Lepisosteus oculatus: one gene and its partners. The protein of the gene in region 3 purifies or fractionates together with the protein of the main gene of each other region. This does not show direct contact. Links are inferred from orthologs where the notes say so. Each region holds a gene or a part of one and is shown on either strand. Other genes may lie near its edges. The genes, in order: psma3, hypoxia-inducible factor 1-alpha, stub1 and pkma.

Region 1 (7,096 bases), on a different chromosome or scaffold from region 3:
TGTTTTACTCTGCTGATTCAGGCTCCACACACAGAACAGCAGAGCCTTTACGTGTGCAGCAGCACCACAACTGTGGAACTCACTGACAAATCTACAAGAGACTGTGTGAGATAGAAAAACATAAGACTATAATTACAGAAAGACCAAGCATTTCACTAAAGTATTTAATGCCAATTTTCATTTAATTTTAGTTTACTAGGGCCGATTGCTGGACTTAAACAGAACTATAAGGCTTCTTTATTATAGCAGCCATGTCTCTCTTTTCACAATATTCTAACTGTACATCACAGCCCCAGATACTGTATTTTACTAGATTTGCCTACAGCTGAAACTACAATACACATGGAAATTCAGTTCAACTTTGTCATTTACTTACACAGGCACATAGTACAGTGTATTTTAAAGTAGTTATTCGCCACTGTTAATAAACAAAGATTGAATCCCATTACCTGCACCCGAAGGGCCTGACCGCACTGTACAGGGTGTACGCGTGCACGTACATGGCCACTCTGTCAGCAAGGTGCTGCAAGAATAAGACAGAAGTTGTAATCAGACTATCACTCCATGCTACTACCCCAGAATAAGCCGACCATACACGGAATCTCTTTAAAATTGTAAAAATAAACAGTGCAGAAGTTACATAATACAGTTCAGTTGCTGTTTTTACCAAATGTTGCCTTCCTTGTGTGAAGGCATCTGTGAAATAAATACATCTTCTACATGAAATCTTGCCTCTTGTCAAAGCAATATCAGAAAAAAACACCATTTTCTTTCAAGAAGGTATTTCCTCCTAGTAAATGTGATCTGTCACTGTGCGTACTGGTAACTTCTGTCAGTTTCTACTTCTCTTTCGAATGAAGAGGTCAAGGACTAAACATCTTTCGTCAGAAGTTACACGAAAATGAACCATTCTTTTTAATGGGATGATAATGGTGGCTTAGGGACTATTTTATGGTTGTTAAAAAAATCTCCTACCTTCAAGGGAATGTCATGACCATAATTGGACCTGAAGTTGGAAGCCTCCTCTCGCGCAATTTCCGAAAGAGATCGCGCATCTGCCAAGAGTCCTGCCACCGCCTGTGGGGCAAAACGAAAGGCATCTTTATGCTCCTTTACCATCTTTTCTAATGGGTATTTTACATCTAAAAGTGTGAAAGAATGCCAACTCGCAGCCTAGCCTTTTTTGGTGAAATGCTGAAACAGACATTACCATTCCCACATGCCGGTCGATGTTGAAGATGCGTTTGTTTGAACCCTCTTCATACAGCTTGGAGAGGACAAGCTTTTCAACTCCAAACACCACCCCATCTTTGCACCTGATCCCAATGGCTGTGCTACAGAACGGAAACAAAAACCATTTTAGTAGCAGCAATGAGAGCAAATTCTGGCTGGGAGAATCCAAAGAGTATGAACAGACCAGGTGTTTAGTCCCTTCTTAAAAACCAATGGACTGAAGCAAACAATCAAAAAATATTCTGAGCTTCTGATGGGACTAATATAGTACACTGCACACACACACTTCTCTATCTTTGTACCCACTGAATCAATATTTCCTGGAGCCATGACATCACTTTAGTTTTACCGCTGAAATGCCAGTGGAAACTAGTCTTCAAAGTCATTGCCATGCAGCAGCTCACGACAATCACATGTGTTTTGCGCAGCACTAAGTATCTAACAGGCACATCAGCAGCAAAGGTGTACAAAACGTTAAGCATGCCTTTGCAATTTTCTTCACAACACCAACTCCTTTCTGCATTCACAGTTCAGAAAGAGGAGACAAGACTCACCTGCTGTTTTCTACTGCTTTCATGGCGTATTCAACTTGAAAAACTCTCCCGTCTGGGGAGAATGTAGATGCAGACAAATCATACTGAAATCAGAGGTGTACAACCACAATCAGACGGGAGGATTGAGCTCTGTGAAACCACTTCTTTCAGAGTTCATACATCACATCAGTGTAGCTCACATGGGTGCCATCTGTGCTATTCAGCCATAATTCGAAACAAATTGGTAAATTATTCTGAGATGTGTCTGTGACAATCACATTAATTCACGTCAAGTCTTTGTCATTTTGCTTTACGAATGAAAAAAAACAACAAATGGTAAACGTGGCATCCCCGTGCCCCAATCTAGGTATTAGACAAAAATATAGTACTCTTCTGTGCAGAGTTGTTTTAACGAGCTTAAATAGAGAAGCCTCTGATTGCACCCGGTGAATTACAATTATAATATCGAATTACACGTTAAAATATAACAATTCAAAGCACATCTTTTCCATTTCTGCCTTGTGTTCCACCTTGTGTTGAATATTGTTTATCATTTCTACTCTTTCAAAATGGAAAAACAACAATACAGGCAACGGTAACATGACTTAAAACCCAATCATTCCCACAGACCCCCCCCCGCCCAAAGTCATGCTTGCCTTCCTATAATTAAATAATGTATAAAATAGGAAGGAAATAAAATATAAATATAATAGGAAGGAATGGGTAGTACTGACTCTATGATGAGTTGCTAACAAATTGCTACAAGTACCAATCGCTTTCACTTTCACCATCGCCGACCGAGCTAGTGACTCAGCAAGCATACAAGTCCGCACAGTCCTCCGGACAATCGTTATCAGCGCCTTGCAGCGTATCTCACAGAGCAAAAAAAAAAATAAAAAACAAAGTACAAGAGAGACAACCTCTCCGTGACAGACACGTTCATGACTGAAAGCACAACAAGAAGCCACCGAAATTCAGCGGACCTCACCGCTCACGTACGGCTAGCTAAAAAGGCCGGAAAACGCTTAGTTCTAAAAATGCCCAACTTTGCTAAGATACAGTAATTTATCCGCCATAATGGCAGACATTTCAAAGACTCGTCGCTTACCCCGGTGCCAATTGAACTCATTTTGGGCTACAACGTCAAGAATATATGTATTGTTGCCCCTACAAGCTGTTCTTTCTCGCTGGCTAGGTTTGTCAATTTCCCGACTTGCCACACTCTCCCACCGGCTAACAACGCACAAGCCGATTGGCTGAAATCTCGCCCCACTGGGATGAGCGGCGCTGCCGGGACTGTCCTCGGCTCTTCGGACAGCGCCGCCTGCTGGTGGAAAGGACAAAACGGCCTGTTTCCCCTTTGGAAAGCCGTCACGTTGTACGGGGTTGTGGCTCATCAAACTTCTTGCGATTCTGCTTCACGCAGAGTGGAGAGTCCGTTTGTACCACGCGTACCTTCTCGAAAAATACAGCAGAAATTCCGAAGCAATGATTTCATATATGTATACACTGTTTATGATTTGTGATGCGTTATAAATGTTACATGTTGTTATGTGTTATACTGTGCATGTGCAATAGAGTGATGTGCATTGTTTTTCTTATTTTTTGTAATAGAAGAATGTGCAATGTTTTTCTTTTCTTCTTTTTTTTGGTGTTTGCATTCTATTTAAATGTACGGGAGTGCGTGGTGTCCATAAAAAAATTCCCTCAGGGGACAATAAAATCTTATACTAGTTCTGTCTTTTTCAATTAAAAATGCTTTTCTCATACAGATGGTTGGAAATGTATACAATACCAGATTTGAAATATATATGTATATATACTTTAACATATTATTTGTGTCATACTTAATTGAATAAGTCATTTTCGACATCCAGGCTTGTAGTTTTGTTTATGTGCGATTGTTCCGTATACTCAGGTCGCTACAATAACAGGTGGGTGCTATCAGCTTCCCCATATCTACCACACATAATAAAAATAATTAGAAATAATAGAGAAACTCAGGAGCAATGCATTTCAAAACAAAAAAATGATGAACAATAGTTTTGGACAAGAATAACTATGAGTAATGTTAAACTACTTTAAACTACTTACATTTGTATAGCACGTTTTAACCCAAGGTGCAATGTAAGTTCATGTAAATGTGTAAAGTATTGTGAATGTTCCTAAGCAAATTAAAAGCTAGTTCTAGTGTGACAGATTCAAGATAATTATTCAAAGGAAAAGCTCAGATCTACTGATGGACCAAATCCCCCATAATGTTAACATTAAGGTGGATTAAGAAGGAGATACGCCTCATTTCTTACTACTGTACTTTTTTAAAAATACGTTTTTTAAATACGTTTCAATAAGTTTTGAAATAAGTATTTTCAATAAGTTTTTATTGAAACCCCAGAAATACAAAAAAAAGGAGACAGAATATTAAAATAGATACAGAAATAGACACTTCACACCCAGGGGAATTGACAAGCTAAAAGTTATACTTTTTACATATTTTCATTGTATGGAAATATCTCCATTGCCTTTTGATTCTTTAAATTTCTAATAGAATTCAAATAAAAAGGGAATTCAACTTTAAAAGCATGGATAGGGTGAGCAGTATTAGACCATTTACTTTTGTGGCTGAAGTATTCAGCCCAAATAATGGCTGACTAGTGTACTTTCCCTTTCCTTATCCAAAGCGTTCGACTGCCCTCTTCAGGATTCACAGCGCCCCACTTGCCTGCAACCAGACACCTCACTCACTCCAGGGCATTTTCTCTCGTCGTCTTCCCAAGTGGAAACGTGACATCAGCGGAAGAAAAAGTTTCTCTGTTAGGACACAAATCCGAACAACAACAACAACAACAATAATAATAATATATAGAAGTTACTAGCCGTGATATAAACAGAAAATCACCATCGGTCTGCTCGAGAACCTGTCTTTTTCGGTAAGTGATGTGTACCGCTGTGTTTGTTGTTTCCCAAAGTGTAAACAGGTGACTACAGTTTTAATCAAGAAAACTACAAGTACACATGTCGAAGAACCTACAAGTTGTGAAATCGCGGACGTTGTGCTCATGACACGATTTTCAATAACTCTTTTTTTAAATAGATGCACGTAGATGTGTCTCGCTGTTCCAAGAAAAAAAAAGTTAAAAGTATGATTTTGTTTTTAAACGGACATAAAGTAGGATAGGATAATGCACTGGAGGATTAAAAAAAATACATTTTAAATATCTGTCTCCCATTAAAAAATTAAACCCACCTGAAATGCGAAAAAAAAGGTGTCTGTTCTCAAATTATGTTTTATATGAAATCGATGCGATAGTTCTGCAAAAAAGAAGCATATATTGCATATATTTGCAAAAAGCTGAAGGCTGAAATAATTCGTCATTGTATATCCTACCAAAATACGAATTGAGTGAGAGAGAAAAAATGCAATTCACGAAGAATTGACTTAAAACAAATCCAATGAATATTCGTTTTCACAACCAGGCTCAGATGGGAGTTCTGTTCATCTGACGTTCATTAAAATACTTTGTAAAATAATGTTGGTAATATCAGAACCGCATGGGTGGTGTGGGGGGAGTTGAAAGTTTCGACCACGGTGACACGTATTTGATTGTTAAAGATAAAAGGTGCTCAACAACAACAACTACATTGTTTCCAGAACAATTCCGCAGCCGGTGACCTGGAAGTGCTCGCGGTTTCTGCTTCGGCCCAGTGCTGCTGGAGACGCTGTCGGGGGGGAGGCAGGGGGTCTGCTCTGTGAGAAACACCCCCCGGGCATGGAGCAGGACAGGGCTCTGCTGGGCCGATGCACGCTAGCAGCCGGGCTCCTGACTTGCACAGCGCCCTTCAGAGGGTTAAACGGAAAATGGCGAGTTTGCAAGGCGAACTTGCCGAAATGTAAGTGCGCTTGCTGCTGTGGTCTCTCTGTTGTTGGTCCCGGTCTTCAAACGCACGGCTGAGACCGGTGCAACAGTAACAGGGCGCCTCGGCTCTCCTGACCCAAGAGTATCGGCGAAGGTCGAACCGGAGGTGCAATTTCGTGTCTGTGCGACTCGCGTTTGTGTTCCGCTCGCCTGTATTGTTGACTGTCCAGCTGTCACTCATCATGTATTTTACACCCAATCCAAGGCATGCTTTATGGCATTGCACGTTATCACATTTTTTACTTTTCAACGTTTACTTAACCACAGTTTTTTTTTCTCTTACAGCTAACATTGTTTCTGTGCACCCGGCGCTATTGTTTTACATTTACTTTATATATGATTGTCCTGTTAATAGTGTATACTGTCAATGTATTTAACATTCTCATTCACTCCTAATTTTTCCATCAGTTGTGAAATCACTATTTTCTCTTGTTTTTCGAAAACTTTAAACATTCTCTGGAAAGTATCCTAGCTATATAAAGTAAAAAAAAAAAGAAACAGTAAATGTTTCACAGGAAAAGTATTCGACCTAATTGCTATAACACCCTCGTGGTCGGTAAATAAAGAATGAAGTACAGTGTCCCCATATTGCAATTAGTTAAAACTGCGTAAAGAGAGCTAGATGGTTTTCGTTTTGCTGATCATAGGAAGAGGTTATGTCAGACCACAATCTGTTTTAGAAACAAGATATTGAACATGTTGTTGTTCGCTTGAGCAGCGGAGAGGAACCTGCAAAGACTGGTTTCTGGTTACGAATATGGCTCTTAAAATGGTTTGTTTTGTTTGCTAATGTCAGTCTCCGCACTAGATAATGAGTATCCCTAGAGTTAACAGGTTTATCCAAGAAAATAGTTTAAACCTTATGCTGATTTTATCTTCCTTAGCCCACTGAATCTAGGCAGGTGTGAGCCTGGCCAGTACCTGGATGGTTGACCTGGGAGAAATTAAGGTTCCTGCTGTAAGATGTGTTAGAGGGGCCAGTAGGGGGCGCTCATCCCACGGTCTGTATGGGTCCTAGTGCCCATAACTTATAGTGGATAGGACACTATACTGTAAAAAGGCACCGTCCTTCGGTTGCGATATAAAACCAAGGTCCTGACTCTCTGTGGTCATTAAAAATCCCAGGGCATTTCTTGAAAAGAGTAGGGGTGTAACCCCGGCATCCTGGCCAAATTTCCCCCTGTCCTTTACCAATCATGGCTTCCTAATAATTCCTATCTATGAACTGGCTTCATCACCAGAAAAGGGCTATATAAGTGTAAGGAATTATTATTATTTAGGAAATGCTCATAATCTGTTTTCCTATAAGACTGCAAAAACTCCATCATTGTTCATTGCCTGAGAAAACCTTCACACTTTGCTCTCGGGATGAAATGCCAGATCAGACAAACAGGTGCCAGGGAACCCACTGAA
Region 2 (7,013 bases), on a different chromosome or scaffold from region 3:
AACAGCAGTTAGTGGACCGATAACTTCAAGCTCACTTTTCATAAAGGAAAGGAAAGGCTTCATGTTAAATCTGGGACACTGGAAAAAACCAACCAGCTTCAATATGTTTTAACGTTTTAATACCTCTCAGGGCTTTTAAAATCCAGTATTCACCAGCAGACTTCCTGCTCCTGTTGGGTGGACTTGATATGAGAGCTGATAATTGAGCAACCCTTGATAAATAAGATGTCTTTTGCAGGCATTGTTTTGACAACATGAAAGAGCAGGAATTCATTCATGATTTATTCCCCACACAAAGTTGCAGAGAGTTTGGCTCAGATGATAACGTGTTGAGAAATCCAAACTATTGCCAGTAATCCTATCACTTCACTTGGCAGTTAGTGAAAGGGACTTTAAAACAAAGAAACCAGGCCTCTCAAGGGGACTTTTCATAGAACCATTGGAAGCACTACTTTCTGACCTCTGTTTTTAGCAGTGAGCACTGGAACGTTTGAAAACCCAAAAGCATTTTTAGACTCCTTTTTTTTTCCACCTCAACTTTGCCTGTGCTGAGTAATAGCTGGGCTTGTGGCAGGATCTAAATTTTAACCCCTAACTCTGGCCTCACCAGCCTCGGATGATGCATGCTCATGAGACTCCCCCCCTCCTCCCACACGCTGCGGTGTCCTTCAGACCGGGGGGCAGAGAGGGGCTGTTTTCCATGCAGGTGCTCACTTCGGGCCAGCAGCTCCCGAATGACAGGGACGCCATCGACAGGGAGCCAGGCAGGGAGCGAACGGCCCCACGCAGAGTAACACCGATTCCGCCCCCCCCCGACTGCGCTGCTCTCGGTGTCGCTGGCCCAGAGCCCAGCTCCAAACAAGACTGGAGACGCAGACAGCTCGGATTCCTCTATTGACCCTGAGGAAAATCAATAGGCAGACTGTGGACTGAGAAATTCAATACCTTTCTGCCTTCTCACCCCCTCCCACATGGATTATATATTTTTTTCTGGAAATATTAATGACTTGGCAAACAGCTTATTTGTTCTGAACTGCATGAAAGGTGCCTAATTCTGATGATCTTACTTTGGGAATGCTCCAGCGCAACTTGAGGAGCCAAGAAGGTACTGCAGTGGTTGGCAGAGTTAGTTATAACGTACGTGTTTAGATTCCTCTCTCTATAAAAAAAAAATGCTCTCTCTTCACAGAAACGTCCATGTGGGACTTCACATTTTTTCCGTGCTCTGTAAGTGCCAGGCTGCGCAGTGTGTCCCACGCACGGCTGACACGTTCCTCTCCTCAGGGAAGAGTTCACTTTCCACGACAGGCAGACTTTCCTTAAGATGCAAGGAGAGGCTCAAAGTCACTGCCTTCCTATTCTACCGCAGGCCATGCAGTGAACAGGCTAGCACCCATCTGCTCTGCATTACAGACTGAAGCGGATATTTTAAACCATGGGGAGTGCTTATGTTCGTCTTGATTTCAATGAACACATAAAGTTAAAGATCACCTGTTGCTATTTTAAATTAATTGCAATCAAAGTGAGTAGATACTTTGGTCTATTTAGATAAGTGTAGAGGAGACACATATTTTGTACAATACCAAGTACTGAGAACTCTGCACAGAAGTAGTCCAGCATGTTTGCGATCAATTCGACAGTGCTCACAATATTCACGCGATATAATTCCTTTCACACATTGTTAAGAGTTCATCTTTCCACAAAACAACCTAAAAATCCCGTTTCGCTGCTGTTTTTCCGGAACAAACAGAACAGAATGAGCGGGCGGTTTACATACACCTGGGCTTATCAGGGGAAACATTACATTCACAGAGTCAGACTGTTTTCACAGAAGAAAGGCTGAACGTCTGGAAAATACTATCAAACCTGTTGGATGAAATGTGACCCATGAAGAAAGGAGATTTGATTATTTCTGTAGGGAAATGCATGTATTCTCAGAGGTTTGGGCGAATTATTTTATCATTTTTATATTTGGATATATAACCTAAAAATAACAGGTCAGTGTATATATAGATCTCCTAATGCCTTCTTTCAAAGGCAATGCTACTATCTCCATCCATTTTCTAAACGCTCCATCCACCACAGGGCTGTGGAGCAGAATGACTCTATCCTGGCAAGCTCAGACACAGGCCAGGACGGTGCCAGTCCATCGCAGGGCAGACACACAGACACAAATGCACATCAGGGCCACTTTTTTCCCATAAGCCAATTAACCTGCCAGTATCCCTTCGAGTGACCTGAGTACTGGTGAGACCCCACACAAAACCAGGAGAACATACAAACTCCAAGCAAGCAGCACCCCCAGATCCGGGAATCGAACCCAGGGCCCAGCCGCTCAAAGGGAGCAATACAAACCGAGCCACCGTGCCGCTCACTAGCACTTCTGTCACCTCGTGCACCCAAGTCACTGCAGCTCCCCGCCGTGCTGAAGAGAGACAGGGAAGTGAGCGGAGTTAGTGGCACCATGGGGCAGAGTGGTGGCCCTCTGGCTAAGGATCTGCTCCTGTTGCTGGAAGGTTGCTAGTTCAAATTCCATGGCTGGCAGAGGAATCCTACTCCGGTGGGTCCCTAAGCAAGGCCCTTAACCCCAGCTGCTCCAGGGGTGCTGTATAAATGGCTGCCCCTGTGCTCTGACTCCAAGCTTCTCTCTCCCCACCTGTGTGTCTCATGGAGAGCAAGCTGAGGTATGTGAAAGGACAAATTCCTAATGTAAGAAATTGTATATGGCCAATAAAGTGATCTAATCTTATCCTTTATGAATGTGTTTGGGGACCTGTGTCACAAATGGAGCTAGTCTGCCGGGCAGGCCTCGTGCTCCATGCTCTGTCCTCAGCAGGGCAGGTCTAAGGCTAACCAAATTCCACAAGCTGCATACACGACACACCGCTCACTGACGCTGACTGGCAGCTAAACCCGTAAGGAGATTTCAAACAAAGCTAATTAGGGAGCCCAAAAAGACTGATAGCGGCAGTCACATGGCCTCTTCATTCATAATACTTGTGTCTGTGTGTGTGAGAGCAGGGGGGTTAAATGTACCTGTATTCATTTATTACTTCCTACTATGTTTTGTACCTGTATTCATTTATTACTTCCTACTCACTATGTTTTAATTTTGGAAGCGTTGTTACTTTAACCTGTCTCATAATTCCAAGCATTGTTTTCAATTGTTACTTGCCGCAGACTTTTGCATTTGTCGGTCATGTCGGTAGAACACGTTTTAAGGCAAAGTAATCTTAGAGTATCTGTCTTTGGCTTCATATACTCCTAACCTAATGTAACATTAATTGTCAGGACCCCAGCAGATTTAATGCGATGCAATGTAATTTAATTCCCGAACACTATATTCCCGAGCATTCCTGAGGGCAATTTTAATCTCAAGCATGCACTCAATTCAAAGAGTAAAACAGCCAAAAACTACAAAATCAAAACAAAAACAAGATGCCGGTCAGACTGCAGGTGACATCCTGACTTTAATATTTTATCAGACTTCGATATAATATAATAGTACAGTTATTTCACCCTCAAAGGTATATTTATTAAGCAGATTTATTAGAATGTTTTAGTGTTATGAATGCGACTTAAATTGTTTTTTATGGGCTTCAGGTCTGAATGAACTGCTTTTTTCCGACCAGTATCTGTACTTAAAAAAAAAACATTTTAAAAATATGACGTTTAAAATATTAAGAAATGACAAAAGGTGTGTACGGCATTTGCCTACAAGACGTTCAAATGTTATGAAATAATGTCATTTTATCAACAGGTTAATAACATCTTTTAACTGTTGCCAATGTGTATATATATATACGTTTACCGAAGGGTTAATCATCTTCATCTTTAAATCAAACCACGGAATCACTTCGGCCTGACGCAACCAGCGACGTCCCCTGCCACATTTCTGTTTCGGGGAACGCGCACGCATTTTACCTGAATTTTGATCTCCGGGAGGCTCGGCCGGGGCGTGCGCGGCCCCGTCCTGGAGGCATGTGACTGCGCGCCCCCGAGAAGGAGCGAGTACAAACTACAGTGTAAGGAGCATCTCGGACGCGGCGGAGAGCTTGGACCGTTTCTCCTGAACGAATCGCACACACCGGCTCGAAACAGATGTTGTGACCTTCAGGCACCTGGAGGTTTGACCTCTTGCTACCACACACGTCAAAAATAGTTCTTAAAGTCAGGGCACCTTGGTTCGTTTCGTCTTCCTGTTGGATTATAAACCGTCTTTTCACTCTCGGGCCTGGGGGAACTCTTACTGTTTGGGAGATCCTAGCTGACGTCTTTCATGCGATAATGGACACGGTCGTAGTCACAGAAAAAAAGAGGTGAGTTTGAGCTTTCTTGTTGTTCACGGGAGGGGGGTTGTGTCGTTTAAACTGGCCCCTGGCTCCGTCCCCGCTGTTTTCATGTGCTGTGGAGAATTTGCTCCCCATTTTTGTGTGTGTATTTTGTCGTATGAATCATTTCTTGGCCGTGGCCACGTCGCCATTTTGTCTGAGTGTTTGGTATGGCCGCGCAGGACAGTTCTGGTGTGATTTCGTTAAGGAGAGGGGGGGACACTTTGATTGATTCGGGACACTTGTTTGATATATCTCGTTTTCCTGCAGCCGGGGGCTGCCTGTGAGGCGAGGCGCGGTTTGTAGCCCCCCTCGTCCTCCTCAAACACGGAGGGGAGATCGTTGCAGGAAGGAAATCCCGAAGTTGTGCGCTAAGTAGTTGCCTGGCCCCTTGACGTTGTGCTGCATTTCAGCCGCCGGTTTCCCGAAGAATCAGAAATAAAAGTGAGACAGACGTCGCTTGGGAACTCGATAAGAATGTCAGATGATTTGCTGTGCGGGCGATGCTTATTAATACTGCATGGGCGCTGGGTCGATGGGGGAAAGGCGACCGGCTGAAGAGATGAATGGAGGCTTTGGTGGTTTGAGCCCAGGGTCTTCGGGACGTGTTCCCCACGCCAGCCCCGGGGAAATGAACCAATTTTCGTCGGGTCTTTTACACCTTTCGCGAATCCGTGCGCGATCAGGCTTTGGGGCTGTCTTGGCACTCGCGGAGTTCACTGCGTGTGTGGGTTTTCGGGGGTCCCTCGGGGATATGGAGCCCAGGATTTTGGAAACAACCATGTTATTAGTGTTGTGATTGAAAATGGGAACCCTCCTCTTTCGTGTGCCGGCTTGAGGAGCTCTCTCGGCCAGTTCTTCATGGTGGCCCGGAGTGAGTGGAGAGCGGGCTGGCAAGTCGGACCTTACAGCGCAGTTACTTCCCGATAATGATCTCTTTCCATCTCTTGTTTTGCCAGCGATGGGGGATGAGTAGGGCAACAACAACAAAGAAGGTGTTGTGTACAGGTAGACGGTTTTATGAAGATGTTGTAAGACCTTTTGTTGTTTTGAAACGAGATATTTTTAGACATTCTTCCCTGTAGGAAGAGGGGTTGTCATATTGCCATTCCAAAAAAAAAGAGCCTAAAGAAATGAGCCCAAAAAAATGAACAGTGCGTTTGTTTTTTTTTTGCTTCAATGCTTCAATGCTTGATAGGTGGTGAGCGTTGCTGGTAACAAGGCTTGAAAAAAAGACTGGTGTTTCTGAGAAAGAAATTGTCACTTCTGCTCTTAGCGTATAGATAAGAGGCAAGTGTCTTTGCGTCACAAATATAGCCAAGAGGCTCGGTTTGGTCACCCTTCCAGCTTGTAACAAAGCGGTTTAGGTGGGAAATAAGAGTTTTGAGTTTTGTTTTTAATGGCAAGATGGAAAACTGGTAACTGTTTTCTGTCGGGGCAAGTAAATCTTATTCCCAAACTTTCCCGAGTAAGTTACAACAGCTGACTGCATGGAGCAATATCTATCATGGAAATACTTAGTTCTTTCTTGATAGCAACGAGCTAAATTTCGAGCAGGCGATGAAAACGGCTCGTTTTTTTACCTTGCCTCATATTTTGAAACCAAAGATTTTATTCCAGGCAGGCGTAGTAGTAATCTCAGACGGAAATAGGCGAGTGAGTGTTTTGGATATTGCATAAGTTTCACGGAACAGTGTGGTGTTTGTACAGTTTGTGCTGATGTCCCAATAAAGTAGTAAGAAAGTGAAGGTATTGAGTGTTTATGCTGCCACTAGGAAAAAAACTTGTTAGAGACACTGGCAAAAGAGCTTGTATTTCCGCAGTGCATCAAACCCTGATATCATGATATATGCATGTAGTATTAACAGATCAGGGGTTTTATCAGCTTCTGGCTTTGGAAAAACAATAGTTTATTGATGACAAAATTAATGGAACAACATAGAGCAGAAAATGAAATTCTCTGACTTAAAAGTCTTTATGAGCAACAAGGACTATAGTTACAGGGACACAAGAGCTACAGTTCCCAGACTTTTGTCTGAAAATTCATAACCTCTGGCAGAACATCATGTAGAACAACTTCTTACATTTGCCTGAAAATATTCTTGTCCATTGCAACATTAAGTAGGCCTACATGCAGTGTACAGATACCAAAAATGGAAATGCAGCATTGGCTTGATTCTCCTCAGATTTTCCCTAGCTTTCGACTCACTAACCCACTATCAGTCATGTTTCTAATTCTTGAGAGTACTTTGTCATGAGCAGCACCATCTGGAACCATTCTGCAGATGCGTAGGCGTCTCTTGTGTTCAGTCCATTTTCCCAAGACCCTTCCCATCAAAGGGTGTTGAGTCCGCCGTGTGTACAGGGCTGACGCAGTGCTCCAGCTGAAGCCTTGGTCCACCACTTCACATTGGCCTGGTTAAGAACCCTTCCTTTGGCTTTGTCTTAAATTCTGGTTGGGAATCCCTTGCACCTATTCACCTGAGAAATGTGGTAAAAACAAACCCAACCAAGAACCAGTTTGTTTTCCTATCGGGTTCAAAGAAACTATGGCTTCTTGCTGATAGCAAGAAGAAATAAGTTATAAGACATCATGACTTCACTTAATACAGTATTTGTTTTACTATAGTATATAACTAATTTATATCTGATTTCTCAAATGTGTGTTACCTTGTGTTCTGA
Region 3 (7,582 bases):
TTTGCTGTAGCCCATTTATTGTGGCCTTTGACATTAATAGGCTGGACATTGACCTGCGATCTTCCTTACCACCTGCAAAGTATTTCAGAATGAGAAAAAGCTGATTTTAAAACTGAAGCTGGTCTCTGTTTAAAAGGTTGCCTGTTGAAAAACAGCTGCACATCGCTCAAATGTTTGCTGTTGTCGGAGCTTTGGGTACTTCACAAGGGGAGATCATTTCTTAGGAAAAGGGAGGAGTTAGGAATCTCACTTAAATAGACGAAAAACAGAAAGGTAAAACAAAGCTCTCATTCTACCATGCAGAAGCAAAGGGACACAAACAAGGAGACGCCATCAGCAGCAAAGATGGGTGAGGATTTCAAGTCGTCTAAGCTGAATATCGTCCATTTCTGCGAGATCGCCCTTGCTGGCATTGCAGTGGTCTTGTCCCAGCTCATGAAAATTGAAATCACTAGGACCATTGACAGTGTGTCGCCTATTGGGGACCCCCTGACCGCGCTTCAAAAGGTCATCCCCTTGGGCAATGCCATTGCTAACAGAGACCCGTCCAGAAACACCCCAGCCAAAGTATGGTGCATTATCGTCTGGTGCTTCTGCTTCTCCATGACCGGGCTGACGGTTCTCCTGGAGTTCATGGGCCACTCCAAGAAGTCCAACCGCTGTGAGAAGTTCATCAAGGCTGTCCCCCGGTTGGCGATGGTCATCGTCCTCTCCGCCTGCATCGTCTTCCCTGCTTGCCACCTCTGCATGCTGAACGGTTTAATCAAGACGGAGTTCGAGACGATGTGCCACAGGGAAATGATTAGCTGCACCGTGGTGTCCTGCCTCCTCTTCATCGCCTATGGCGTGGAGGTCAAGCTGAAGTGGCCTTAGTCTGGTCAAAGTGGCCTGCTTTATGGATCATCCCCGCCCCCCATTAGATTCAGCCATGGCCCTCACGCAGTCCTTGTTTGCTAATGTACAGTAGATGTTCGCTTTCAGGCTCCTTCCACCCCAGTCTCCTACTGGTCATCAGCATGCAGGTGTTCAGCTGTCACCCGGAAGAGTGGATCACAAACTGGGACAAGGGACATACTGTCTTTTTTCCAGCCACCCTCACTGGTGCAACAGTGATGATTCTCAGTCTCTGTTTTCAGGGGTCTCAAGTGTAAATGGGAGTCAGCTGTGAGGGACTGGACCTAGCTGTTACTGTATTTTTCAGGTGGTAGGTTTGCTGATTGTTCTCTAAAAACCTGTCTCTAAGGTTCATTTTTTTATCAGTAATTATTGTCTAAAGATTATAATTAACTGTGATCCTGCTTAGAACAGTGTGACTCTGTGTATATTCTAGGTGTCGGGGTAATTTTAAATAAATCTAGTGGTGTGCTTTTAACTCAGTTTTTTCTGTAACTGCAGTGGCTGCGTTACTTGTTGTTTTATGTTGTAAAACGTAAAAAATTTAATTTCCTTTAATTTTTTTGCACCATAATATTAGTAGAAAGATGGTGATCCCATATATTTCATGCTATCTGCTTCTTGTCTTCTTGTGCCAGTAGCAAATAGTCATGGGTAAAATGGTTCACTGCTATCAATAGCTTTATCCAGGTGAAAGGGAGTCTTTTTAAATTCCTTTATTTAACCTATTACCTGAGAACAAATCCTCATTTACAAAATTTACCAAAAGAAATGACTGGATCCATCTGAATGAAGTGCTTTTTCGAAGGTTTGGCAGTAGTACTCCTCCCAGAATTGGATAATAAGTTTTACCAGTGTAGTTTAATGGAAAACACATGCAAAGCCCTTTGTAAACTGATGGTGATAGTTTGCTGTATGCATTCAACTTCAATAAACCTGAATGTGTTTATTTTTGCTGGTCTGTTTTTGTTGCTTTTGTTCCACACCTTAGTGACCGAATGTGGAAAAACTCCCCATCAACTGGTGTTGCAGCTTTTACAATCCACTTTTAAGAGCACATAAATAATAGTAATTATTCAAAAACAATTTCACTCCTTCGTATTCATAATGTAGCAACTTGAGCAATAAATCAATGTTCAACATTTCGCAAGGTGAATTCATATCATGCAGTTTATACATGGAATTTGAGATTTTAACTTAAATGCATTTTGTTTTCTTCAGTCCGTTCACGCTTATTATGAAAAAGGAAGCTCATCACTTCAGACCGAGCGCAGCGCGACAGTGACATGATCTGCTGAATACCACAAACTACACAAGAGACAGCACCACAGGGAGAAAGACACGTCAGTCCCTCGGAGATAAACAATGCAAGGTCATTGGGATACAGAACACTGCATGAAAGGCGTGTGGATGTGTATTGAAGTAGGACAAGACTGCCCCCTGGAGCACAGTCTGAGTGCTGGAATATTACAGAACACAACTGAAGCCTGGCACCCTAGCTAGCATTTGCTCATATTTAACAAGCAAAGAGGTTAATTTGAAGATTCATGTTGCCTATTGCTATTTCTGTCTTGGATTCAATCACATACTAAACTTCTGTACACATTGATACCTGTAAAATAAAAGTCTGAATCTGATGTATATACAGGGTATCATAATTTTGTCATCACCTTGTTCCCAGAAAATGCACGTGTGTGAGTGAATGTGCAAAGACTAGCAGTTTCAGTTTCCACGTCAATGGGTCTCCTGAAGCCTAACAATTATGTTGATATTGGACAGGACTGAACTTTCTTCCTTAGGGAAGTATTTGATCAGTATTTGCTTGATGTTAATAATAATAATAATAATTGCTTACACTTTCTGGACACTCCACTCAAAGCGCTTTACAGGTAATGGGGACTCCCCTCCACCACCACCAGTGTGCAGCCCCACCTGGATGATGCAACAGCAGCCATAGTGCGCCAGAACACTCACCACACACCAGCTCTCAGTGGGGAGGAGAGCAGAGTAATGTAGCCAATTCATAGAGGGGGATTATTAGGAGGCTATGATTGGTAAGGGCCAATGGGAAATTTGGCCAGGATGCCAGGGTTACACCCCTACTCTTTTCAGGAAACGCCCTTGGATTTTTAATGAGCACAGAGAGTCAGGACCTCAGTTTTACATCTCATCCGAAGGACAGCACCTGTTTACAGTATAGTGTCCCCGTCACTATACTGAGGCATTAGGACCCACATGGACCGCAGGGTGAGCACCCCCACTAACACCTCTTCCAGCAGCAACCTTAGTTTTTCCCAGGAGGTCTCCCATCCAGGTACTGACCAGGCTCACACCTGCTTAGCTTCAGTGGGTTGCCAGTTGTGAGTTGCAGGGTGATATGGCTGCTGGCTAAATGGTTTTTACTTGCTCAGAGCTTTGTTCAAGGTTTGAGCTTTTCGGTTCTAAAATAATGCTGGGTGTAATAGTATTATTGGGTGGCACAAGCAGCCACTTAGAAGTTAGAGAATTAACTAAATCTTTAGAATATAAATCAAGGGATGTTATATTAAAAGATAACATTGTTAAGAATACTGTACATGCAGTTTTGATCATCAAGTTACAAAATGTTTTGCAGGCTTAAGAGAAATGTCTCTTCAGAATAGACAGTAAAAACTTTCAACAGGAGGCATTTTACATAAAGATTTGTGGGGGAAATGGAATAAGCTGTGTTATCCATGTTGATACCCTGGTTGCCAGGAAACAGCTGGATAAGATCCTCACATCAATTAGTTACTAAGTGATAACTAATTGACTACTAGCTACAGTAGCAATTGAGTTGGTTACAAACCAGATGAGTCTTTCTTATGTTGTTATGTTTTCAACAAGCCCCGTTCCATTACAAACCGTTAATTGTAACAAACTCTGACTGGTCTATAGTTTTAAGTTACTATGCTGCTATAATTATACTAAATCATGACGCTATTGAGTATATATTTAAAGTCAACAGGTCCACCATAAGCACAGCACATCTGTTGCTTGTGTTGACCGTCCACACTTCCAAAATGTCTAGAATTACTGTCAGCTTTTTTTTTATTATTGAATTGAATTGGAACACATATTTGAATTGTCAGCCTAGACATAAATTATAATTACAAATTAAGAAATGGCTGGATGACATCCTCGGATCAATTGACTAGTGACTGCCAAACTGGCTATAGACTAATCCCTTCCTCGGTTTGCAAACGTTCTCCCGGTCTATGTTTTTGTATTTTAAATCAACCTAGAGCGGTGATTTACGTTTGAAATCCGCTCGTTAAGACTAACGAATGCAATCAGCCGGCAAAGCACACCCGCTATGCTCTATTTCATCCATTTTCTCGCAAAAATAAAGGGTTAAACGACAGCGGTAAATCGCTTTGCACTCTATGGTCGTCTTCCGTTGTTTTACTTCCGAGTTTGACCCGAACTCTCTTCGGGCAGGAACTTCCGACAGCGGCTCAGCCATCAAAACAAGAGACGGATGAGACTCGTAGTCCGGGAGTGGGGTGAAAGCCCCAAATGCCGTTATTTTCTGAGAAACGCAATGCGAGTATAGCACCCCTGACCCATGATCGCCCATTTCTTCTCCACAGTGTGAGTCTACATATTTCTCTGGGAAGAAAAACCCCCCGCAAAACGTGAGGTGAAGCGGACGTCAAGGCCAACTGGCTGCGCGGAACCCCGACCTTGCCTGTTGACAGCAGCCGAGGGACACCTCTGCGGCAGCGGGGAAGGCTGCGCTTCAGCTATCCGGTAGGTTCAGGAAGGCGGGGGAGGGAGGGATGGGGTGCCGGTCTTTCCCTTTGGGATAGCGATTCATCAGCTTTAGAGGAGAAGCAATAGATCAAACCAAGCGATGAAATATACGTATTAGTGGCCAACAGTGGGCGAAAGCACGCTTGCAGACATATGGTAGCTACCTGTTGTAAACAGCAATTTGGTACCGAAAATGTCATGGTGTTGATACCGACGGACCCGTTGCACAGTCCCGGTGCCATCTCTTTTCCATCTTTATAGAAGGAAAAACCTCTGTTGGGGATATTGCCGTTAATTTTCGTCTACGTGTACTGATGATAAGTAACGAGACCTTACACCTTATTTCAGACACCCCCCAGAGTGAATTATTATTTTTAACTCTCTGAAATACATGTTGCAGATCCTTATTCTAGAAATCTTGGGGTTAGTTGATGAGGCACTTCACGTATAAGCATGGCCGAGATGGTCAGCAGACGTGACGTGTTTTGCAGCCCAGTTAATAAGTGTTTCTGCTTAAAATGAATATCGCCCCGGACCCGTCGGTGACTGATTAGTCAGCAGACCACAGCGAGTGTGTGAAATTTAGCGTTTTTTCTCTCGGTACACGCGTTTTTATGGGAATGCAGGGCAGATCTCATTGATAACTGGTCTCCTGAGGCTGATTACATGAAGCCTACAACTCGCCAAAGAACCCATGATCCTAAATTCTCAGCCGCATCGATTGTCATAGGGATGATCGAAGTAATTAATGTAGAGTCCTGTTTAGTTCCAGATGTATATTTTAGTCGACCCCACGTGGAAAAAACGTTTGTTTTAGTTATGATAACCACCCATGTGGTTATCTGTCAGTCCTGGGATCTTCTCCGGAAGCCCAGTGATGGTAACTAATATAACACGATTGTTTTAGTGACTTCCCTCTATAGATGTATGGCTCTTTTATGCCATTAAATTAGGAGGCAAAACGACTAGAAGTGTTCTGAAATTTCTACTTTCCTCATGGTGAAGTGGTGCCTTCTGTGTGGAGTCTGCGTGTCCCCCATAATTATCATGCTTGCTGGTTTAACTGGCATCTCGTTGGGCTTGTGTGTGGATGTGCTTCCCAATGGACTGTGCCAATAGTATGGAGGTTCTAAAAATAGGCTAATTCTTGTCATAATTTTTGTTCGCCAGCGATCTGTTAACCAGACCAGGCCAAGATTATAGACTAGGGCCTCCGGCCCTATTCACTTCGCTTTGATAAAGTTTTGATGTTTGAAGGATCTGCTGACATGTACTGTATATATGAGATCAAATACTTAAGAGCCTCTGCTCTTATTCCTGGTTTCCTTCCTGAAGAAGGAAACGTTGTTAGTACATCCTATGAAACCTACCGCTGTAGCCTTGTAAGTATGTCGAAACGTTTCATATAGACGAGAGTAAAAAGTACAGGTCCCTGAGGTACAGTGTAAAAGCCATGCAGGGAAAGGTTTCATATATTTTAATTAAACCCAGATGTAGGTAAGAGTATCTGGCTGCAGGTTTGGACATAATTGAATTGTAACCCCCTTTGATTGCATTACCAAGATTGAGCAAACATCATTATCGCTGGTATCCAAGAGAGACCCGAGAGGCTGGTGTTCCTTTCATTGGCTGTGCAGCTCGATGAAAGAATTTCCATTATTTGAAATGCTGACCCATCTTAGGTTATATCTCATGTGGCTTTCCTGATTGAAATGAACTAATACTGTATTATGGATTACAATTCAGTGTGTGCTTTTATCTTCAGTTGCATTGCTTTAGTTTGTCCTGAACTGTTGTATGTTTTTTTTTCACATGACAGCAATGCATTGTGCTGTTTTTAATCATGTCGATGGTAGATATATAGTTAATTCCTCTTCTAGAGTCTTCATTGAATCTGCCATAGCAGAACTGAGCAATAGAGTTCTGTTTAGAAGGATAAACAGTTCCATTCTGGCAAATTAGCAATTAAAGCAGCTGATCTCTAGAGATGTGCAATTTAAACAAACTTTTGAAATGTGAATAATCACAAAAGAAGTTAAAAGCTTTGCAAAATGTAATTTATTTTCAGTCAATAAAGTAGGAGCAAAACAACTATATTCCATGTATATCAGATTAACATAAATTCATTTTAGAAATACCATTTTCTCTAGCAGGACTGCAGAACCTTTAAGTGCCACAATTGAAGCATCCTTCACAGGTTTACTGGCTGTAATTAAGCTACTGACAGGTGTGCGGCTTAAAACTTTTTTTTTTCCGTTTTGAAGACCCTAATTAGTGATATTCTAAGAATTTGCAAAAGGTAGCTCAAAATTGGTGATAATTGGGGTCAATGCAACCCTTGTCTCAAGTAATGACTTCCCCAAGCATTGACAATGGTGTCCTTATTTCTTTATCTTCATCTATTTAAGTGCTCTTGAGGAGCACTGAAGGAGAAAGCTAGGGATTGCACTACCATTGATGAAGCACATATCTTTGAGTTTTTTTCGTTTTGATGCAGAAGGAGAATATTTTACTTTGCAGTGTGTTCACAGTTACAGTACCTGGACTTTTATTTGCTTTGCTTTTGCTGATATTTTGTGAAGCACCCTGGGGTGCTCAGGCAGGAATGGCACGACATAGAAAAGTTTTGTTGCGTTTGCTAGAAAAGCTTTTTGGGCATAGGTGATGCCACACTTTTTGTGTTTTTAACAGGATATTTATAGGGGAACTGCAACACTATCTTTATATTTCGGGGCTAGAATAACCATTGATGAGTGCGTTTGAAACCGCAATAAAAAGTAAAATCTCCACAGTAACTTGTAAAACCTCCAATTTACATCACACAAAATAGAGGACATTTCCAGGTATGCGCTATATTGTGCGTTTCGGAACAAGGCAACAAAACTTCAGTGACGTGTTGCGGCCCTCTTATATT
Region 4 (7,796 bases), on a different chromosome or scaffold from region 3:
TCAGTTGTGGCCTTGAGCCCCCTGTGATAATGCTAAAGTACTTCTACTGGGAGGGTGCAGAGCAGAGTCAATTTAAATTTGTATGACCTCCTACTGGAATCTGTAAGTCAGACATGTGTTTCTTGAAGAATGTGTGTGCCTTTCATTCCTTCATGTCAGTCTGGAAGGTAGGAGACAGTGGAGTTAAATATAAACTGACCTTTTCAAGTTGGGTGTAAAAGGAGAAACGTGGATATTGCATTCTAAATAAACTTTAAAATTAACCAGAAGCTAAACAGCAGTGAGACACTGCACAATAAATATCCCATATAAAAACTGCATCTCTCTGCTTTAAAACAAGAGTGTAACTAGGCTTGTGGAGACAAAGCCTACACAAAACGACATCTGAAAACTCTATAGACTATTAGAGACACTATTATTGCGGAATGATTAATGTGCTGCTGATGAAGACAATGGACCTGCGTGTTGCTATGATACAGAGCTACAAAAAGATTATTCCAAAAAAAGATGACAGAATAATAAAATGTGTTTCATCTTATTTCACACCACTATGTCAATTACGTGTTATAACAATAATTGTCATCATTGAAATTCTATTAATTATAATAATTATTAAAAATATGTTTTAATTATTAATTTAGATGGCCAATATAATTAAATTTGTGTTATAGAACACAACACAGACTTTGATTAAGGCTGTTTGGACAAATTGCAGCATTTTTCCAACACATTTTGTTTTACACACCTTCCAGTGGCATCCTACAGAAAAATGGATTATTCTCTTAGAAATTCTGTACTGAATTAACTTGTAACCTCCCAAAAAGGAAATGACTGAAGCTGATAGACAAACAAGCACTCAAGATGGGATAATCATGTTTTATATATGGAGAATGTTAAAACAGTCTATTAGGGTGTCATATCAGAAAATGTCATATCTCTGTCCTTCTGTGATACTGTTTGTGATACATGGTTTGTTTCCATGACACCAGTTTAGTGTTCACTGCCATGCTTGTTCTGTGTCCATTGTTGCATTATGATTATTGCATGAGCCTATGTGGAGCCTCAGCTTCCTTCAGCTGTGTTTTTCAATCCTAGTGAAGCCCCTGTCCACATCACCAGATGTCATTCTGCAACAAACACTGAAGCAGAAAATATTTTAACAGAAAACAAAACTCAGACATCTCCACTAAAACAGAAAGAATTGGCAACTCAAAGGGATGTACAAAGGGCTGAAAGACAGATGATGTCTCTTGTTACAGATTTCCTGTGGTACTGTTCTACAAATTTTTGATCCATCTATCAATTTTCTAACCACTTTATCCAGGACAGGATCACTGGGGAGCTGAAGCCTATCCTGGAAAGCTGTGGTTTCAAGGCAGGGGCAGGATACACCCTGGATGAGACGCCAGTCCATAACATTGAACATAAAGACACAAATACAGTCACACTCAGACCAGGGCCAGTTTCCCTAAGAACCAATTCACCTACCGCTATGTGTTTAGACAGTGGGAGGAAACCAGAGCACCTGGAGGAAACTAACATGAACATGGGGAGAACCTGCAAACTCCACACAGAAAACACCCACTTTCCACACACTGTGCCCCACATTTTCAATACAATTCATTCAAATAAGGGGCTGCATGTTGACATGGGAGTTAGACATGCTTCCTGGCTTCGATTCTGGCCTGGGTCACATTTTGTGTGAAGTTTGTATGTTCCTTCTGTGGTCATGAGGGTCTTCGATAAGTGGTCCCAGTTTCCTCCCACAATTCAAAGACATGTTGTTTAGGTTAAATGACATCTCCAAATTGTCCCCAGTGTAACATAACATAACATCATAACATCACTTTATTAGCCCTATACAATTTCTTGCATTAGGAATTTGTCTTTTCACATACCCCAGCTTTTCTCCATGGAGACACAGACACACAGACAGGGAGAGAAGCTTGGGGTTAGAGCGCAGGGTCAGCCATTACATTACATTACTGCCATAGTACTTAAACATACTCCTCTGTGAAGTAGATCAATTACTATGTCTAAATCTAACATGAATAATACTAGCAGTGTGATGCACAGTTGCTGCTAAAAATGTAGGATCAATTTTGAGCTAAAGGCCTAAGAAATTAGTCATTATGCCAAGTTCAAAGAAAAATAATTCAGCACAGTAAAATAATAATGCAGTAGTACGCAATAATTGTCATCTGCAACTTTGTTTGCAAAGTTGGCTCAATTCATTCCCCAAGCATGATCATAAACAGAAAAACCTACCACACAACACAAACTATATAATCACTTTAGACCTCGCAAAATACGTCTGGAATGCATAGAAGGCTTCAATTCAAACAAACACACCTTTAGCTATACACAGAATATGACTGAATTTAACCCTTGTCCTCCCTGTGGTTCTGAAACTCATGGAATGTTATCTTATATTTAAGATCAATTAAGAATAAAAAGGTTTATTGAAAGTATACATATATACCGTATGAAACCATTGCAGGTGCTTCATCTTTGGGAGACAGTTTTCGTTTATAAAACATTGAAAGCCTTGCTCCATCCCTGCTAAAAAAGTTCAATTTTACAAATCCTGCCTTCAGACATTTTGTATTTTCTCCATGTAACAGAGGATGCTGCTCTGTGTTCAGGGTCCAGTTTTCTCTGAAATCATGCTTTCAGTTCTGGCTATATCTCACCCTCTCCTGCCATAGCCTGGCATCTGGCAATAAGGAGTTGGTCTTTTTTTAATACCCCACTCTGCTATCTTCCACTCTTGGAATGAAACTCAACCTTCTGTCGCTGAGCCATTTTGTCCACTGCATTCACCTCAAAGGGCTTAGCAAAGAAGCACAGCTAAAAATGGGCAGAGAATAGTTTATTTTTCTGGTACCTTCTATTCAAGCTTTTATTTTAATTCCCAAGAATGAGCATTACCTTTTCTATGCAGTGTGTGACAGTTCACACACTATTAACATCTGAGCTCCAGTCAATATACACGGAGAAATAAAATGCATATACCTGTACTGTATTTGCATTTCCTACCAGTCTGACCCTCCAGCATCCCCAAATCCTCCCACCCTCCCCTTCCATTTTCTGTGGGCCCAGACTCACTCCTCTCACGGTAGCCTTGGTTACCTATAGAGACATATTCTAGTGCACCACCACCTCCCACTCTCCCCCCTCCCCACAAAAAGAATAAAAGCTAAAAATGCACACACATTCCTCTCCCAATTCACACTTACCCTTCTCGTGAGGTAGAAAGAGAAATGCTGTCTTTTTCTTTTTGTTTAATTTTTTGTTGTGGCACTGGGCTCCCAGCTTTCTGTCTCTGTTCCTCAGAAAAGCACAATGGTAGCTGGAATCGAATCTTTCTACCCCTCTTCTATTCTCTCTCTTTATGTCTGCCTAGCTGTGTGTGTGTTTATCTATTGCAGATCTCTGCTCCTTCTGCTGTCTTATTTTGCCTGACAACACAGCCCGTTGTGGGCATGCTCAGTGCGTTTCAGCCACTGCTGCTCATGTGACTTCCAGCTGACTGGGCACAGAAAGACAGGGAACAGGCTGGAGGAGAGAAACCACTTTCAGCTAAGGGAAGCTATCCTTCTTGTCTAAAGGGAAAACTGTGGGTGCCTACTTATGGTCTTACAAACTCTGATGTTACCGAATGTCCCAAGAAAAGAACTGGGGCCTCTCGTGATTATTTAATGTCTCAGAGCATTCAGCTAAACAAGCCCCTGGACAATGTTGCAGACATCAGTAAGATTCTCTCTAATTGACTACAATCCTTGTCTGCTCACTAAGTCAGATGCCTTTAAAATGGGATCCTATAGGAGATCATTACTAGAACTGGATTAAGGTGTACTAAGTTATCATTAAGACCAACTAAATGTATCGATAAATTAATATTGCTGGGTGTCTTTTCAAGGAATGAGCCAATATTGATGAATATGTGCAATAATAATGATGTTTTAGCATGGAAACTTCATCTGAAAATATCCTTTAAGAAACAAGTAACCCCCTTGAGCCTAAACAGTGTCCTTAATCAGTATTTACCCTCCTTAGCAGTAATCTGCCAGATAGAAGCACTGGCAGATTAACTGAGTTCCTGAAGACCAGGAGCATGGCTACAGGTGAGGATGCACGCAGTTCTCTGTCTGCAGACATCTGCCTGTGCTCCCGGGACAAGCGTAGCTGCATTTTCACCTCCCCAGCGTGCTGTTCTGGGTTAAATCTGAGCAGAAGCATTATAAGAAAAGAAACAGCTTTTTTTCATAACTGCAGCTCCTGACGTGTTTCTCCCAACTCAACTCCCTGTCACCAAATGAACAATGAAGAACAGCCACCGCTGAACAATCCAGGTGCAGTCTTAAATGGAGCAGGTTCCATACCACTCTCCTACAAAGAAACACATTAAGCTAAATGTGGACAAAATACACACTATTTTTTTAAAGTTGGCTTTTTGTCATTTGGGACTGGCTCAAATGCCCATAAGGGTGCTACAACACCTAAGAGAAGCAGAAATTTACTGTGAGCTGACTGTGGGATTTCACATGTCCTGTAAGTAAGCCACCTGGATTTGAGTTTGTTTTTTTATGAGAGACAAGAGATTTAGTGCTTAGTGGAAAGAGTTGGGGATGGACTTGGGGCCACAGGGTGAACCTGAAGATGAACCGATTGGTTCACAGGTCTGCCAATCAACTTTCCAGGCATGGCCATTGGCTGTGCTGAGCTAGGTTGAAGAGCAGATGCAGGTTGAGGTGGGGGTGGTGGAGACAGGGGTAAGGACAGGACACGATGGGCAGTGGCAGCAGCAACAGTGCGAACAGGTAACGAAGGGGGGGACAAAGGGATACCATGATACAAAGACACTGTTTGGCAATAGAAATCACTCCATGGCAGAAGATTAGTACCATGCAAGTTTTTACTCACCACATACAACAAAGTATGTGCAAGAGTTCCATATTTATCACATCAATCCACCAAGTTCATGCAAGCCTAATAATTTAAATCTAATTCATGCATTTAAGCTGTAAGTGTGAGTACAATAATAACAGATTAGGCATGTCAGTTTTGGGCTAAAGCTTTTTCACCAAAAACTACAGAGCACATTAGTGGAGATGTAGCTACTGATTCCGATATATTAGGAAAGAGGCAAAACAATGTTCAGTGGTTGAGGTAAAACTTCACTGGCGAAGGAAGCAGAGATACTAAAGTTAGAGAATGCTGTTCATCTGATGGTGTGGGGAAAAGACTTTAGAACTGTAATTTCTGAAATGCTAGACTGATTTAGCTTGCAGGAAACTCTTTCTTCTGTGACTAAAATCAACTGATTTCACTGATGAGGCTTTTGTTTTAACATTTTGTTTGTATTTATTGGCAGTCTGCTGATTTGTTTTACACTGGTAAATAAGTAAAAATTAAATGTTTTTTATTATTATTATATTAATCGTAGAAGAAGTATTATCTTACTTTTTGCATAAACATTATCTTTGAAAGTATTACATGTAGTTGTATTGTTGTTAATAATTGTTTTCCTACAGTTTATATGGCTCACTTGTAAATATAACGTGTGCTATTATTTGCATTACTGTTGTAAGGCGATTAGGTTCGATGCTTTTACGTTTCAAAACAGAACATTTTAGCACCATCTAGGGTAAATGTACTGCAATAAAACTATTTTATTACGTTCATTTGAACACAAGAGGACGCTAGTGCTCTCAGATGTGCTTAAAATTAATCGGAAAAGGAAAGGAGGAGGTCAAATTCGTAAGTTATTTCTACCGTGGGAAAACGGGATAAAATAAAAAACGTAGGAAGAGAAACTGTCTTTACTCATAAAATTAGTTCCAAATGACCTTCTTCTATTATAGCTTTTACCAACGTGAAAAGAAATGGAAAAAACTGAGAATGAGAGGTTATTATTGTAACTATACTTTTACATGAGAGGTTTTTTTCCTCATGAATCAGCAATGTACACGTATATATAGGGTAAAAGCACATTAAATATATTAGATAATATTTCCTGTCATTTCTATAGCATTTTTCATCCCAAAGGTTCTCAGAAATCCTTACATCCTCCACCGAAATGCTACACCCACCGTGTTTATGTGTTGACGTGCAGCTGTCATTATCCGCCAGCATCCCCAATTCAGAGTAGCTGAGGTGAAGAACTGGGAATTGTCTCACTCAAGGGGAAATCAAGGGGATTTTTAATGGAGACACAAGGCTGTCCAACCCCAAGATGGAATTTAGCCAGGACACTATAATAATACTAATAAACTTTATTTTATATAGCGCCTTTAAAGGTGGCTTCTCAATGTGCTTTACAGGGTGACAATAACAATAAATAAGAAGAGTATAACAATAAATAAGGAGAATGCACAAGATAAGACACAATTACAATATATAGAGGAGACCGTGGATGGTGGTACTAAGAAGAGCAGAGGGGTGAAGAATGGAACCAGTTAAGTAAAGGCTTTTCTGAGGAAGAGGGTTTTGAATCTGGATTTGAAGGAGTTTAGAGAAGGTGACTCTCTGATATCCTTGGGCAGATTTCCAGACCTTGGGGCTATAACAGGACAAGGCCCTGTCACCCACACAATGTAGATGGGCTTGGGGGACAGTAAGGAGGGCAGAATTTGAAGAGCGGAGGTCGCGAGGTGGGGAGTAGGGCGATAATAGTTCAGACAGGTACTGAGGTGCCAAGCCATGCAGAGCCTTATAGGTGAGCATGAGGATTTTAAAGTCTACACAGAATTTGACCGGAAGCCAGTGCAGGGACTCCAGGACAGGAGTGATCCTGAACACTTGCACTAGACCTGGTCAGGATTCTGGCTGCTAAATTTTGGACATACTGCAGTTTGTTCAGAGTAGATTTTGATACCCCTGCGAGTAGAACATTACAGTAGTCAATTCGAGAGAATACAAATGTGTTGATCAGCTTTTCAGCCACAGTTAACGTGTGTTAACATCTAGTGTTAACACTAGTGTTAACATCACTACTCTTTCAAAAAGTGCTATCTGAAGTTATATGCAGGATGAGGATGGCACCTCCCACAGGTGTCCCTGGTCACCATGACCACACTGAGCATCCATCCATCCATCCATTTTCTAACTGCTTTATACATTATAGGGTTATGGGGGAGCTGGAGCCTATCCTGGCTAGCAAGGAGCACAAGGCAGGATACACCCTGGATGAGATGCCAGTCCATCACAGGGCACATTCAGGCACAGACACACACACTCTCACCAGGGCCAATTTTCCCACATGCCAATTAACCTACAAGTACAGTATGTCTTTGGACATTGGAAGGAAACAGGGCATCTGGAGAAAACCACCTCTAACTTGTGGAGAACATACAAACTTGAAGCACATAACACTCCAGGTCTGGAATGAAACCCAAAGCCCCAGTGCTAAGAGGCAGCAATGCAAACCACTGCATCCCCGTGCTGCCCCCCCATGGTTTAGAGGAAAGAGCAACACCTACAGGTACAGTAACACCAATCTCAGCAGCAACAACCTGGTGATGCTGGCCTATTGTCTGAGCCAGCCTGCTTAACTTGTACACCACCCTTACATTGCTGAGAAACTGGATTCAGATCAAACTAAAAGAAACTAAGAAATAAGTTCAGTGGGTGACACAGTGACACAGTAGTTAGCATTGCTGCCTCACTGCACTGGGACCTAGAGTTCAGTTCTGGACCTGGGGTTCTATCTGGTTGGGGTTTGCACGTATGTGTGGGTTTCCTCCAGGTACTCCGTTTTCCACCCACAGTCCAAAGACAGACTGGTAGGTTAA

The links.
Region 1: the proteins of stub1 (region 3) and psma3 purify together in Homo sapiens (affinity purification with western blotting; 3 studies listed by BioGRID, with this or other methods). This does not show direct contact. The link is inferred for Lepisosteus oculatus from reciprocal best matches to the Homo sapiens genes STUB1 and PSMA3.
Region 2: the proteins of stub1 (region 3) and hypoxia-inducible factor 1-alpha purify together in Homo sapiens (affinity purification with western blotting; 3 studies listed by BioGRID, with this or other methods). This does not show direct contact. The link is inferred for Lepisosteus oculatus from reciprocal best matches to the Homo sapiens genes STUB1 and HIF1A.
Region 4: the proteins of stub1 (region 3) and pkma purify together in Homo sapiens (affinity purification with western blotting; 3 studies listed by BioGRID, with this or other methods). This does not show direct contact. The link is inferred for Lepisosteus oculatus from reciprocal best matches to the Homo sapiens genes STUB1 and PKM.

The regions. Positions count from the first base shown.
Region 1 is NC_090703.1:4,537,155-4,544,250, forward strand, and holds the start of psma3 (proteasome subunit alpha type-3), read right to left. Parts: upstream 3,014-7,096; 5' UTR 2,896-3,013; coding exon 2,875-2,895; intron 1,871-2,874; coding exon 1,788-1,870; intron 1,335-1,787; coding exon 1,211-1,334; intron 1,078-1,210; coding exon 976-1,077; intron 524-975; coding exon 450-523; intron 1-449. Other genes in the region: mipol1 (mirror-image polydactyly gene 1 protein), read left to right, coding at 5,566-5,657. UniProt on the Homo sapiens protein: Component of the 20S core proteasome complex involved in the proteolytic degradation of most intracellular proteins. This complex plays numerous essential roles within the cell by associating with different regulatory particles.
Region 2 is NC_090703.1:7,462,632-7,469,644, forward strand, and holds the start of hypoxia-inducible factor 1-alpha, read left to right. Parts: upstream 1-3,996; 5' UTR 3,997-4,287; coding exon 4,288-4,319; intron 4,320-7,013.
Region 3 is NC_090714.1:6,186,780-6,194,361, forward strand, and holds the start of stub1 (E3 ubiquitin-protein ligase CHIP), read left to right. Parts: upstream 1-4,558; 5' UTR 4,559-4,665; intron 4,666-7,582. UniProt on the Homo sapiens protein: E3 ubiquitin-protein ligase which targets misfolded chaperone substrates towards proteasomal degradation.
Region 4 is NC_090700.1:61,163,163-61,170,958, reverse strand, and holds the start of pkma (pyruvate kinase PKM), read left to right. Parts: upstream 1-4,776; 5' UTR 4,777-4,791; coding exon 4,792-4,823; intron 4,824-7,796. UniProt on the Homo sapiens protein: Catalyzes the final rate-limiting step of glycolysis by mediating the transfer of a phosphoryl group from phosphoenolpyruvate (PEP) to ADP, generating ATP.